2 linked regions of the Styela clava genome follow. The protein of the gene in region 1 purifies or fractionates together with the protein of each later gene. This does not show direct contact. Links are inferred from orthologs where the notes say so. Each region holds a gene or a part of one and is shown in the gene's direction. Other genes may lie near its edges.

Region 1 (8,036 bases):
CGGGCCGCAAGTCGGAGAAAACCCAAAAGTGATCGAAATATCGCAAGTTTACTTACTATAAATTTAATAAGCAACGAATCAAAAAACTCCCCACTTCGCTGACCACTAGATCGTTGAAATGCGGAGGTGGAACCGCCACATAGTGTGAATAGTTCATTGGTCCAATTGTTGAAAAAAAAAAGAAATTTTTTTAAAACGAAAATGCAGCAACAAGGAGAATACTAGACGGAAAAAACAACAACAATTTAAGAAAACGACTCATAGGCCCATTTCGTGTCCAATAAATAAGTTTCAGTGTTTATTTTCTAATAAAGAAAGTTAATATGATATTTGAAGACCAAAAATAAGCAAACATTTTGAAGTTTGAGTCATCTGGTGAACTCGTAATATTTTGATAAACACCGATAAACTATATAAAATTTTGCTATAAAATTTCTGCGGTGCTCCTTTTTTCTTGATGCCCTAAGCACTTGCTTATATTGTTTAATGGTTAATCCGGTGCTGCTCGCCAGTCTAGATGAGCAACATTTTTTGCCACTGGTTCAAAAACCTTGCTCTATACATACCTAGGCGTATTGGATTTGAAATGCCAAAGAAAACAAATTAGAGCCAAATTCACATTACCGGTAGGCCTACTACAATTCTCTGTATGAGAAATTCGACAAAAAAATGTTTTGCATTCTTAGAAAGCATTTCGTTATCCGATGCAGAGCACCCAGGCATTGCCAGCGACATGCACACCAAATATTGGTACTAGGGCAGTGGTTCCTAATCTGGGATCCGCGGACTTTTTGGGGTCCGCGAAACAAATCTGTAATACAGTATGACTATAGTTACTAGGCCATCGGGTTGGTATAATAGGATAGGAGGATTTACATCTTTATCCCGGGGGAGAGGAAAGCCGATAAGACGGCTTATCCATATGGCGAACCACAGCCTCTCGTCCGGTCACCATTCCAAGTCGGGTATGGGATTAATTTTACTGTATTGTTTGTTTTCGGAAGCATGGACTTGGTGGGGGAGGAAGCCGTAACCGACCAGCGGTTACGTGAACCACCCAACGACGACGAGGAGTCCAGCAATCCTCTCGCACATAATCATCCCTGCATGGGATTCGAACCTGCGAACCCACGCAGAGTAATTAGAGGTGCGGTGGCGAGCGTATTCCTAACGCTTAGCCCGTTGAGCCACACCGCCGCGCCAATCCTACCGGTACATTTGCAATTTCGCCCGACATATCACAGATAATATGGGTTTCTGCCCTACATAAATAAAATCAAACCTGCTCAAAACAAATATCAGGATATCGTCCCTCGAAGTTAATCACCAAGTAATATCCGATTCCACTGGTCTTTAAAAATGTATGCCTACTAGTGAAATTAATTATTCCTGTGTTCGAACTAAACTGACAGTCGGTCATCGGTACCTTCAACAAAAGATCAAAATTAGCATTGTCTTACTTACCATTGTTACAATGAAGATCATAAACGCACGAGTGAACTTCTGTTCCAGCGCTTTTTCGGGCAGCGAGCGTATAGGAATTAGGGGCCTGTAGCCTACCTAATTAACAAAATTTGACAAAGCAAAATGGCGGAAGAATTTGAACAAAATGGCGGAAGAATTTGAACAAATTGTCGTGAGCTTATCAGGTAACTCTCCGGGTCGGATTTTCAGGCAGTAGGATTCCGAGAGTAGATTCAATAGTTGACTCGTGCCGTCGCATGACATTGTACGGGATTCAGTTATTTTCAAACAAACCTTATAAAAGTATGAGATTTACTGTGAACTATTTTAAGCGTTTTAGCGTGTTTAGTATATATATATTGGCTGCTATATATATATATTACCATCGCAAAACTAAGCAATATATAGACTTTCTAACAAGATATCAGTGGGAACATTTGTTTTTACAAAGTGCGTATTTTCCTCTATTCTGTAAGCTCAAATTTCGATTTTATGATAATTTCACAGAGGTCCATTCCGATTATATTTTATAATCAATATTCCTTTTTATACTAAAACGTGTACTTTCGTGTCATTCGGAAATAAATTAATAGTTAAAAATCATTGTGTATTGCGCTTTTTGCGTTCCGTGCTATTGCGGTAAAAACTGTTTAATTGATTTAAATAAGCATATTGCGATTTTAGAGAGGTTTTAAAATCAGGCAGTTAATAATGTAAAGTGTGGACAGAAGTTGGGTGATTTCATAATTTCGGCAAAACGGGTGGCGACAACGTTAGGATTACGCTTGTAATCCTGCGTGGGTTTGTAAGTTGCGTCCTGTTTTTATGTGCTAGAGCAGTCCTGCCTAACCGTTTTTTGTTTTACGAACCACTTTCAGATGAAGATAATCACTATGTGGCGATGAACATTTTTACTAAACTCCAATGCAATTCTAGTTTATGTGAGGATTTACCGTATGAAAAGCAAGTTTATTTAAATAAAATCAATTAAGTCAACAATTGCTCGTCGAGTCGTCAACGACCTGGGATGGGGAAAATATCCCAATATCGAATCTAACAATTAAATATTCGAATGGCATTTCACTATTCGAGTATCTGGTAACTCGTGGCCGGGGTCATTTCACTGGACGCGGCGCTTGCGTTGCGCTGATCCAAATAGTTGGATAACACGCGGCACTTGGGTTATACAGACGAGCAAGCGAGAATTTTTGCACACATTTCCGCTGACAGACAGAGACGTCCAATAGAAAGGTTTGTATTATGGTGTTTATTGCTATTATTATTTTTATAATAATTATTTCAGAGCCTATCGTTTCAATTTTTATTTGACCATAATGCGCGCTGATGAAGCACAAATTTCAACAACTTCTCGAAACATCAAACACGTAATTAAGTATTACATGTAATTTTTCTGAGATTTTGTAGAATTATTTTAAATATGTATAAATGCCGTTATTGCCGATTTTATCATCATTTTAATGGAAAATGCGGCACTGACCAGCTACTTACTGTACTGGTATACACAATTACGACTTTAACGGAAGTTTTCATTTGACGTGATATCACAGATGCGACAAAAGAATAAAACGGAAAAATACAACAAATTCCGCAGCCAGCACGAAAAACAAGAATCGGAGTGAAATTAATTTGAGATGCAAATTCATTCCTATAATATTCGTTAATGTCGACGACCTCACAATAATCGTATTGACAAAAAAAACTAATTGTTCACGCCCGCCGGGGAGCAAGAATCAATCTAACTAAGGCATATGATTCGATCATTTTAAATTGAACTATTCGAAAACCACAGAAGAACCCGATTCACCAATCTTTTCGAGACATTTAAATTTGGCCTATACAGATATTCCGTACTGGATTGTCTCTAAATCATTATTACTGTAGGTTGAGTGCTCCAAAAGTAAAACTGCCCGAAGGTTCAATACATCCGCGTATTTTTTGTTTGTTCATTTCTGGCCCAAGCCATGTTTAAAAAGGTTTGTGTTTATTGTAATTTTTTTGCGTGTGTGCTGGTGGGTGGGCACATGATATTTCTCATGTTTTAAACTTTTCAAAGGTTTTGTTCGCTCTCCAGAATTCTCCTTTTATATTTTGTGTGTATTATGGAGTCTTCAAAATAAATCTATCTATCTATGAGACAAGGAAAACTGGGGGAAATATAGCTTACCGAATCAATTATGCCAGAATTGCAAAACATGATTGAAAATATATAAGAGTACTAAAATATATTATGATAATATTGGAAGTCTGCTTACAAATTTACGCGGCCAAGTACAAGCCGGAGCGTTAATTGGGCAGCTCTGTGGACTCTTCTCCGTCGTGAGGTGGATGGTTCATGTAACCACCAGTCGTGTATAGATTACCCCACCATCAAGTACACATACATAAAACAAATAACTAGCTTAACACAATCTCAGCCGACATGGACTGAAACCGTGCGAGTGACTGTAGTGTGCCATATGGGTTAGCCCAGTGTTTCCCAAACTTTTTCGTCAACGGGACACTTACACTTTTTATCTCGCTTCGCGGAACACCAAAAAAAGAAAGGGTAAAGTTGATAATGAATAACGGTGTAATGTAGCCGTTCCCAGTGGGTTCTCAATGCGCCGCGAAAATTAACAGGATTGTTTTGAATATTTTACATAATGCATTTATTATAAATGTTTTATTATTTCCTAATTTAAATGCTGTGTATATGGATCAATTCATTTATTTTACTGCAGTTCATCTACTGAATAGAGTTTAGCGAAATGAGTAATTTTTTTCAGCATTCTAGAGTAAAACCAGGCAGAGATGGGGAAGAAGTGTTGACTTTTTGCCTTTATTCTTTCTACTCGTTTGCCTATAGCAAAAATCAAAAGGATTGCTGTAAACTCGTTAATGAACATTCAACAAGCTAGGCCGACGGAAAAAGCCACTACCCCAGTAAGTAAAGGTGACGGCCAGTTAGACGACAACTTCACGTTCCAAAGATCGCCATGGCGACCATTTTAGACGTAACACTTCGATGACGCTCGCGGAACACTAGTGTTCCTTGGAATACAGTTTGAAAAACGCTGGTTTAGCCAATCTTGTCAGATTTCCTCCCGGCTCGGCGGCGTGGCGCATCATGCTGAGCGTCAGAAATACGCTCCGCACCTCTGCGTGGGTTCGCAAGTTTGAACCCCGTGGGCCGTGAGTGATGATTAGGTGCGAAAAGATTGCTGGACTTCTCGCCGCCGTAGGGTGGTTCACGTAACAACCCTTGGTCGGCTACGGCTTCCTCCACCATAAAGTTCAAGCATCTGAAATAAAGACCTGGCTAACTAACCTTATATACTCGACATGGATCGGTAACCTGACGAGAGGCATTGGTTCGCCATACGACTAGGTCTTGTCGGCTCCCCGGGTAAATATGTGTAAATTCTAAATATGAAAATCCTATAATATTATGACCTTCGACCCTTAAAGCGTATCAAATTGTATTTTCTATTCCGCTCTCTGGCTCTGATCTTTGTGGGTCTAGTTCTCTTTTTCCAGTTTTCCGTTGACCTGTCGTTTTCAATCGTTTGAAATTTTTGTAGATTTGAGTTATCACTTAGGGTTCTATGGCTTCGGCAGTTCAACCTCAGCCTGCACAGGCTCCAACAGTAAACGGAAATGGCGGTATGAAGTTGACAGACACTAAACGAGGTAAAGTCCTTCTGGGACAACTTTCATCTGATTTTTTGAGAATAAAAACCGCTGTTTCAACAGGACAATCAAGGAACGACGCAACCCTGGCACAGCAAATGGCGTTACAGCAGCAACAAATGCTGACACAAACTGCTGTTGCAGGAACTGCAAACAGATTGAATTTAACTTTAGTTGAAGCAAAATTAAATAAGAATTATGGTGTTACAAGAATGGATCCATACTGCCGTGTTATTGTGGGACATGCAGTTTATGAAACTGCAACAGCACAAAATGGCGCAAAGCTTCCATATTGGAATAAAACTATTTCAACTACGGTGGCACAGGATTTAAAACATATCAAGATAGAAATTTACGATGAAAGAGCCTTTTCTATTGATAACAGAATAGCGTGGGGTAAAATTGACATTTCGGACGCGATAAAAAGTGGGAAATCTGAAGATGATTGGTGGCCGTTAAGCGGAAAACTTGGCGACGAAAAGGAAGGAATGATACATTTACAAATTTCATGGTCCAAAGTTCAGCAACCAATTATATACAACGCTCCAATGCCGATGATGTTCCCACACGTCTATAATCCTGCTGGTGTACCTATGATGATGCCCGCGGCAGCAGGTGGGTACATGGTGCCACCTGGTGTCCAAGTCGGGGGTATGTATCCACCAAGTCAGCCGCAAACACAAATTCAGCAACCCGCGATCACAGAACAAGATCTCAAACAAGTTAAAGAAATGTTTCCGAACGTGGAGGATAGCGTGATTAAAGCAGTTCTAGAAGCAAGTGGAGGAAATAAGGATGCAGCTATTAATTCTCTATTAAATATGCAATAATAAGTTTGGTTTAAAAAATAGGAATGTAACATGATGTAATATACTTCAGAAAAAAATTCATCCTTATCGTGTAGTCATTGAAGCTGAAACTAGCAGCATCAACTATATTCTTCTAAGATGGTAAAATCTTCCATTTCATAACTTCTGTTGCTATTTCATTTACATAAGTGAAAGTGCGTCTTTTTTAAACTGTCCTCTTTTTTGTATTTAATGTTCCCTACCCATTATAATGATCCTAAACACGGTTGACTGCTAGTCCATTAAACTCAGAACAACAAAAAAACAGAGGATATTCCCATCAAGAATATTCCATCCAAATATTTGAATACATCCCTAATTGAAGATAGTCGATACAGTAAAATTGTAAAATTAGGAAGAATTAAAAATAATTTTGTTTAAAAAATTTATCATTGTAAAGATTTGACATCCGATATCAGACATAATTCACCTTTGACACTGTAATGTGTGAAATATATACTATTTGAATCATTCTGCAATACCAATTTCAATTTATTACGAATTTACAGTTATTTGCTCAAATATCTTTTTTTTTCATAATAGTGCTTATAAATATAGTAATTATACTTGCAACCCCACAACGAGAAAAGTACAGCAATTTTGAAAATCAGTATTCTGGCTATTTCTGACTCGTATTATCAACTGTTTTAAATATGAAATATCCAGTTGTATATTATGGAGAAAATGTGTTTGTTCATCTATTGAAATATTTCAGATATTTTCATGCTAGTGTTGTTTTTTGTACATACCGTAAATATTCTCTTAAATTATGCTTTTAAATAGGCATCAATTATGTTTGTGAGGTATTTCCTTATGTTAGAGTAACTTCTGTCAGTCAGTAGTTTATTTTTCACCAAAATGAAAATGCACTCACAGTGAACATACACTTAAAAAAAGTTGAAAATGACATTTCATATTGAAAGGTGACGCGAACAACCAAAGTTGGTTATCGAGCAGCGACACCTGTGATAAGAGTCTAACTTTGATACAAGTTTAATAGAAATAAGACGAACAATATATATATAAATTAATATATCAAATATTAAAGTCGAAAAACCAAATTTGTTGTCATTTCATTTACTTTTAGTTTTTTACTATTTGTTATGGACATCACTGGTAACCAGACAAGATGCTGCCGTAGATGGTATTCCCATTACCCGGTATAAATATCCAAATCCTTTCCTTTTGCTACTTTGTTAACTGAGCAATGTTAGTTCATTGTTTCCCAAGATCTTTTAGGTTCGACATTACCTATCCAATTTATAAGCTGAAAATTACGGCTGTCGTGTATTTTGGTCTAATTTGGTATCCTTCAGTCTCCTCCACTTCCGTAAATTAATGAAGCCTGACTTGTTAGAATATCTGATTGTTATCCGGGAGAAACCAATGCTGCTATTTCATGCTTCATAGATTAGCACCAAAGTAAAATTGTTCTAAATCTAGTTGTTTATGTTTATTATTTCATTTAATCATTGTTCTTATACTACTATGTCTAATAATCAATATTTTATTGTTAATATTTTAATTCAGCTTTAAATTAAAGTTTATCGAAAAATCTAGTTTTAAATTCTATACAAAGGACGAAGAATTAATAAATTTCTGTGCAAATCAAAATCTGCCTGTACTTCGCAAAGAGAAAATTTATTATTTCTGAATTGGATAAAAGTGCCAGATTTTGCTCATTTTGACAATATAAATCAACTAAAATGACTGATTTACGGATCGTCCTAAACCTTCCGAACGAGGATATGGAGGTGGACATGGACGAGAACTTTGACGACCAGGAAGATGACAATAATGAAGGTGACCAGCACGGTCAAATGTCATTTAGCACAATTGGTAGCGGAATTATGGCTTTTAACGATTCTTCAATTCCGTCACCACTCGATGTCACTACACCTGAAGAGCTTCTGACACCGTTAGCAAGATTGAGATGTTTCGCTGTTAGTGACAATATATTTAATCGTAGAATGATTGCTCACGATGCTTGTAATGTTTTTGAAGCCGTGCAAAATGACGAGAAAGATTTCGAAT
Region 2 (7,015 bases), on another chromosome or scaffold:
AAATTTTGTTCCCAGCAAGTCAACTAGTGAGATGCAGACAGAATATATTGAAATGATTATCAATAATAAAACTATATATCTTTATTTTTGTGTTTTTTTTTTCATTTGCATGTTGGTTTAGTTTGGCGAATTTGGTCCCGCCTATAATTCTGCAATCTGATTGTCGTATCAGGTATTTATTGTGTTATTTTTGTTTTTGCGAATGTTTATTCGTTTGTGTTGTTTTTTATGGACTGCAGCGGTCTGGAGTAGTAAACGAATTGAAAAGGCCACCGTGATACTAGTACTATTTTTTCTACTGTCCCCCCTAAGTTCGCTGTTTTACCTGGAAATGGCCTAGGGGTATATCAAATGACCTTTACAAGATATTTACAGGTCCGTTCCGGTAGGTTTGGGTAGATATTTTACACCGTTCCGGTAATTTATTGACACTGATACTGGAGAGCACGAAACTGCGAAAGGTAGAATTATATTTACTTGCTTCATATACCAGTAGCTATTCTCTGGCTTACTGCAGCATGATCTCACAAGTTTCCGTTGCTGTTTATTATGCAGTTATGCCTACTTTGCGAATAACTTCTTCTCTCGGCTCTTATGTTTCTGAACACTTCCAATTTATAAAACCATCACTCCGGGGTGAACCACTTCTATGAAGCAATAAGCAAAACAAAAATTTGGCGCTGACAGAATCGCAGAAAATACCCACGCATAAAAACAAATGTTTCCAATCATTTTAGAAAGAAAGTGTATATTTTTATTAGTTTTACAATACCAAATCAATCAATAACTACACTTCTCATCTTGTTAATATTTTGTAAACAAGCTAAATCGACTGTAACAGTGCATTACAAAATTACATACTTTTTTAGGAGTTGTTTATAAATGACCGAATTTTCTTCGTGACGTTCATTTCTCGAAAACCTCCTATAAAGGCAGCATTACCACATAATGGGACAAATCAGGAACCTTATACTGTAGATTCAATTTCATTATAGCAGAGCATTAGCAGCACGTTTTGACTTAGCCATATATAATACCAAACATAGCGCATATTCTTCAATTTTATGAACACTGTGGACATAATTAAAAAAAAGTTTGTATTTCACTTAATTTGCAGGATACTTGATCAAATATATTTTTTCTTTTTACACATTTATACTGTACGCCAAGAGAGAGAAAGAGGTTTTATTATTTCGTCAACCAAAAAATACAGTCATCAATAAAATAGCAACAGCAAATAAAATTGTTTAGGTATGGACAGGAGAGAGCGATACGACCATGCGCCATACGGTCATTGAGGTCAGCTCCCACCATATACGCTGATGTGATTAACACTGAAAGATGACTAGTGACAAAACTTGAACCATTACGATAAAATTTTTACAATAAATTTCTTAACAAAATTAAGGGATTTTTTGGTTAATGCAATGTTATGCAAGTGTGTTTTAAAGGAAGAAAAAAGAAACAAAAAAGAGGGATGTCCGGTGTTGTATTCGTTAAATAAAACAATCTAAAGCGGTCAGAATAATGAGATGGAAATTTATATTTAACTGGAAATAAATAAATTCGAATTCAATGAGGTTTGGATGCTTATATTTAGCACAATATTCAAAGTACTTGGAAAAAAAATTGGCCATATATATATACAGTGAATCAAAGACAAAAATTATATTGTGATGATAATTTGTCTGAATGTGAAAAATATTTGAATGTAACTTAGTGATACACAGTATTGAAAAAAAGTAACACACCAGGAATTTTATTTATAGGTTAGTCACAATCTGAAAATGTTTAAAATATTTCATGGACTTGTTCATGCAAATGTTTGGCATTTTTACAAACTTGCATTTCAAAAATAATAATACTTATAATAGGTATACTTATCAATAAGGTTTAGCAGATGGATTTGGGAAACGTTTCTGATTTAAACAAGAGGGTCAAATCAATAGAAAAATTTTACAAAACAAACCGAGCAATGATGAGTGAACATTTTTATTTACCTTTGGTGCTAGAGTATGATTGATGAAACCTTTACAAACAAACCTATCCTACTGCTAGTTCAGATCAATTTGGAAATAATTTAATTGATCAACAATAGCATATCAATAACTAGATATAAAAGACAGGGAAAAAACGTGCTATTCGATTGACCAACAATAAAAATTTTCGTTTTTGTAGTCGCGATTTCTCGAAAACCGCCAATACGACACGACACATTCGAAGAAAATCAGATACCTTATAGATTCGATTTCACTATTCCAGAACAGTAGCAGCACGTTTTAACTTGGCCATATACAATACCAAACATAGCGTGTATTCTCAATTTTATAAACAATGTAGATGTAAACATATTTCACAGGGGTTTCGTATTAAACTATATTTATTGAATATTTGAGCAAAATTCTTTTTCACGTTGTCATACATCAATACTGTATGTTCATTAAACTTGGATTATGTTGCGAATTACATACATTGTTAGATACATTGTATTGAATACATTGTTCATAAAATTGAGAAATATTCGCTATATTTAGTATTATATTTGCCTAAGTCAAAACGTGGAGCTACTGTTCTGCTATAATGAAATTGAATGTGTCGTAGTGCTTCCTTTATTGGCGGTTTTCGAGAAATCCCCAATCCAGGGTCGATGATTTTTTTTAAATTTTGAATAGATGGCGTGAATTTATTTTTTGTGATTTAGACTTTCCGCAACTTATTCCAAGTTTAATAAACGTACAGTATTGATGTGTGAAAAAGTAAGAAAGTTATTCGTTCCATAATTAGATAAATTTGGTTAAAATACAAAACCCTTTTGGAATAGATTAAGTCCAGACTCTAGATTGTTTATAAAATTGAAAAATATGCGTTATGTTTGGTATCACATATGGCCATGTCATAACGTGCTGATATCGTACCGTTGTAATAATATCTCATCTATAATAAAATTTTACATCCCACCATTCATCGTAATTCTGCTTCTATTGGAGGATTTTGATAAATATTGTTTAGAACTTGTACTAATCTTAGAAACTCCGTATTTTGCGGAATACCTGGGAATGCGTTATTTGCCCAATTTCTTTTTTTAGACCCTATTTTATTGTCAAATTCATTGTAGTTCTTTAGTTTAATGCTTTGTCATGTCTTTCCGTGGTAAAATTATCTTTTTCTCAGCCATTTTAATTTTTTTTAATATGTATCTATAAGTGAATACTACATGCGCGTGGGAACTATATTCAATGTGTAAAAATATTCTGGCCGAAATTGCCGCTAGCTGCACAGTGGTGTGTAACTGTACTGTATTAATGGATATACTGTACCGGACCACTGTGAAGCTAGTAGCAAACCTTCTTCTAATTGTGCGCAGCGGTGCGTTAAGTCTCGTTTTCGTGCTCATTGAAGAGTTATATTACAGTTTTGTGCTTATTGAAGGGTGATGGAGTAAAACGTAGGCGATTTCTAAATTCCACACGGCAGAATTGCTCTCGATTGTAGATATGGAAGAAACATCAACATAAATTTAAGTGCAGTTTGGAAACTTAATCGATAGCACAACGGCAGTTTGTTTTACACTAATGTTTTATTTTCTGATTTGTCAAATACGGTATCTAACTTGTCATATACTACTCGCCTCAATAAGTACGCACAGAGCTAGTCTGTGTGCAAGACTTTGAATTACCGAATAAATAGAGTTTACAGGTTCAAAAATGAGCTGTTTGTAATGCCAAGCTAATGTAGAAATACGATCGCATTCATTTGCGAAATTGGAAATATTTCAAAGTCAGCTGATTGATTAAATGCACGATGGCCATAACCGTCTACGGTACGTGTTTCTTCTTCTGAGTAATCAAGTCTATTTTTTCACCATACTTATGGAAACGAAGATATATAAAACAAAGATCAAATTCTACTAGCTTCACAGCGGTCTGTACCGGTACCGTTAATGGAGATGAATGGCAGAATGGGTAAATGTATCTGGATTTTATAATATGTCATTTTCATTTTGTATTGTATACTCACACATTTTATGGCATCACCTAAATTAGCTAGAAAATTGGGCTTCATGCAACTGAATGGAAATAAATTATTTGATTGAACCAAAAACTATCATATTTTTTATAAATTGATTTAAATTTTGCAAAAAAATGTGTAGTATCCAGTTTACATTGTATTAACAGTATTAGTACATAACGTCACATCAATAGTCAGATTTTTGTTGTATGTATATCACTTTATCAGTAGACTATTGCTTATGAAGTCAAATCCGAACAATGTGGATCCTTGTTTTGCTTATCTGTGCAGCTGTGGGTATGAATGAAAATGAAGGCAATTAGCATTTGGTTTGGTGAAGCTTCATACATTTGTAGGGTTCCCCATGCATTGCTCTTTCCATCGCATATCAGCAATATGTCATCAGCATTTGGTTTTGTATTTACATGGTATTAAAATTTCAATGTTGATCTATCAGTCTGTATACCCAGTATACGGTCAGACGGTATATATGTATATAAAACTATAGTAGGCTATTTTGTCAACACTGATCATTAGAACGATGTCAGCATCCATGTTTTAAAGTATTAACAGTTAAGCTTTTCTTTTTGGCATTTACTAGTATTTTATAAAAACAGATAATCGTTAAAAATGAAACCGGACAATGTTAAAATGAGAGATCATTTGTATAGGGCTATCATTAGCCAGTTGCTGAATGACGGATATATTGCTGTCGCAAAAAGCTTAACATCTCAAGTGAAGCCAACACTAGCATGTCCACCTTCTGATAAACTGCTCAAAGTATTTGAGACTGGAATTACCCAGCTTGAACATGACAAAGAATTTAAACTTCCATCTACTGCAGAACTGGTTGCTCCTGGCCATGGAATAGATCTTGAATTTGAGACAGATGTTCAAATAACGTCTCCAGAAGCAATTGTATATGAAACAAGTTACGTTACTGCTCACAAAGGTCCATGTCGAGCAGCGACTTTTTCAAAAGATGGACAATATATTGCGACAGGATCGGTGGATATGTCAATAAAAGTATTGGATGTTGAGAGAATGGTTGCCAAAAGTATACATGAAGGGACTCCTCAAATGCAAAATGATCAACCAGGTATGTTAGACCACCCTGTTATTCGTACGTTGTATGATCACAATGATGAAGTGACCACATTAGATTTTCACCCAACCCAGCAAATATTAGTTTCAGGTGGCCGTGACTGTACAGTTAAAGTATTTGACTTTTCAAAGAGTTCTACAAAAAAGGCTTCAAAAACCATTCAAGAAGTTGCAACTGTGCGCTCAGTTTCCATGCACCCCAGTGGAGAATGCCTTCTGGTTGGCACAGAACATCCAGTTGTGAGACTTTATGATCTGAACACTTTTCAGTGTTATGTGAGTTGCAACCCATCAGATCAACATAGAGGTCCACTAACCATGTTGGCTTACAATAATGATGGTAGAATTTATGCTTCTGGGAGTAAAGACGGAGATGTGAAGTTATGGGATGGTGTCAGTAATCGATGTATTGCAACATATCCTAAAGCCCACAGTGGTGAAGAAATTTGTTCTGTACAGTTTTCACGAAATAGCAAATACCTTTTGACAAGTGGTAAAGACAGTGTATGCCGTCTTTGGGAGACTGCAACAGGACGCTCACTCATTGCTTATACAGGAGCAGAACTTAGTGGCAAACAATTACACAAAGCACAAGCAGTGTTTAATCATACTGAAGACTATGCATTGTTTCCTGATGAAAAAACAATTTCACTATGTTGTTGGGACACCAGAACTGGTGAAAGACAACGCCTATTGTCACTCGGACACAACGGTCCTGTTCATCGTCTTGCCCATTCACCAACATCGCCTGGATTTATCACGTGCAGCGAGGATCACAGAGCTCGGTTCTGGTATAAGAGAACGACAGGAACGGACTGAATTGCTGCTGGATAGCACATTTTACTATGTGTTTCTGGACCACAAAGTTTAGGGTCAGCGCAGCATAACATGAGCAAAATTAAAATTTACTTCATGGAGATCATCAGTTTGAAGATGCATGGTATATTAGACAGAGTAATAAAATCTTGTGCTTTCGATTGCCTACTGTCTTAAAGAACCTTGCCTATCTATGCTTTCCAACAGACCAGACCCTGTTGTTTTTTTTAAAGCTTATTTGATATTCTTAATTCTCATTCCACTTTTTATGGCAGTGAATTATCAATTGACGAAAGAAATTTATTCGACCTAATAAACCCTTTGAAATCATCCTCATTTTATGCCCAAACCTGTGGCTGTGTCCCAATTTTTCTATATTTCTTCTCACTAAATTGCCACCACTGCTGGGGTATTATGCATTCCTATATTTATCTAGTTCGTGCTCTTGTCTTGACAATAGCGTTTAGTACACATTGATTAAAACGATTGTCCCTTTTTCGTAACTAAATTAGCCACAATATCAGTACTGACTCGGGGAAAGTTTATTTAACAGGACACATCAAATTTATAAGGTGTACATATTGAATTGCCATGCTGAGGAGGTGCCAAGCATCCCCCAAGTCTGAACCGGACCATTTTCTATCAGCTTTGTGGTTCACTCATCAGCCATCATCTGTTTTTTCGAAGTATTCTGCCATCTTGCAGAGGGCTCTTGATCTGTGGGAAATCTTGTTCTTTTCATCTTTTGCCATTTCAGCATATCTGAATTGGATGGGGGCATGGATTTGCTATTGGGTTTCAATTTGAATGAGTCCCAGTCATAAAATAACAACAATGTACTCACGTTTCATTATAACCATCTGGTTGAAATGTTGGGTCCCATCCAAAGTCCCTTGGGCCTCTAGGTGATACGATCCTCCCCTAGTAAGCAATTAAGGAAAGACTTGTGAAAAGTAATGACAGTAAATTCTCATTCCTTATTAAATCATAGATTCTGGGCAATACTACTTGAAAGCTTATTATTGAAGAATTTTTTTTCACATAATTTAGTTTCCATATGTTAGAAGCTGCTGGATCGAAGGTGGTC

What was found. The genes of interacting proteins can lie anywhere in the genome.
Region 2: the proteins of toll-interacting protein A-like (region 1) and cleavage stimulation factor subunit 1-like purify together in Homo sapiens (co-immunoprecipitation; 3 studies listed by BioGRID and IntAct, with this or other methods). This does not show direct contact. The link is inferred for Styela clava from reciprocal best matches to the Homo sapiens genes TOLLIP and CSTF1.

The regions. Positions count from the first base shown.
Region 1 is NC_135250.1:1,381,142-1,389,177, forward strand, and holds toll-interacting protein A-like, read left to right. Parts: upstream 1-4,889; 5' UTR 4,890-5,069; coding exon 5,070-5,984; 3' UTR 5,985-7,532; downstream 7,533-8,036. Other genes in the region: serine/threonine-protein phosphatase 4 regulatory subunit 1-like, read left to right, coding at 7,709-8,036. UniProt on the Homo sapiens protein: Component of the signaling pathway of IL-1 and Toll-like receptors. Inhibits cell activation by microbial products. Recruits IRAK1 to the IL-1 receptor complex. Inhibits IRAK1 phosphorylation and kinase activity.
Region 2 is NC_135254.1:18,916,993-18,924,007, forward strand, and holds cleavage stimulation factor subunit 1-like, read left to right. Parts: upstream 1-4,593; 5' UTR 4,594-4,638; coding exon 4,639-5,931; 3' UTR 5,932-6,053; downstream 6,054-7,015. Other genes in the region: inosine triphosphate pyrophosphatase-like, read right to left, coding at 6,591-6,690, 6,773-6,849. UniProt on the Homo sapiens protein: One of the multiple factors required for polyadenylation and 3'-end cleavage of mammalian pre-mRNAs. May be responsible for the interaction of CSTF with other factors to form a stable complex on the pre-mRNA.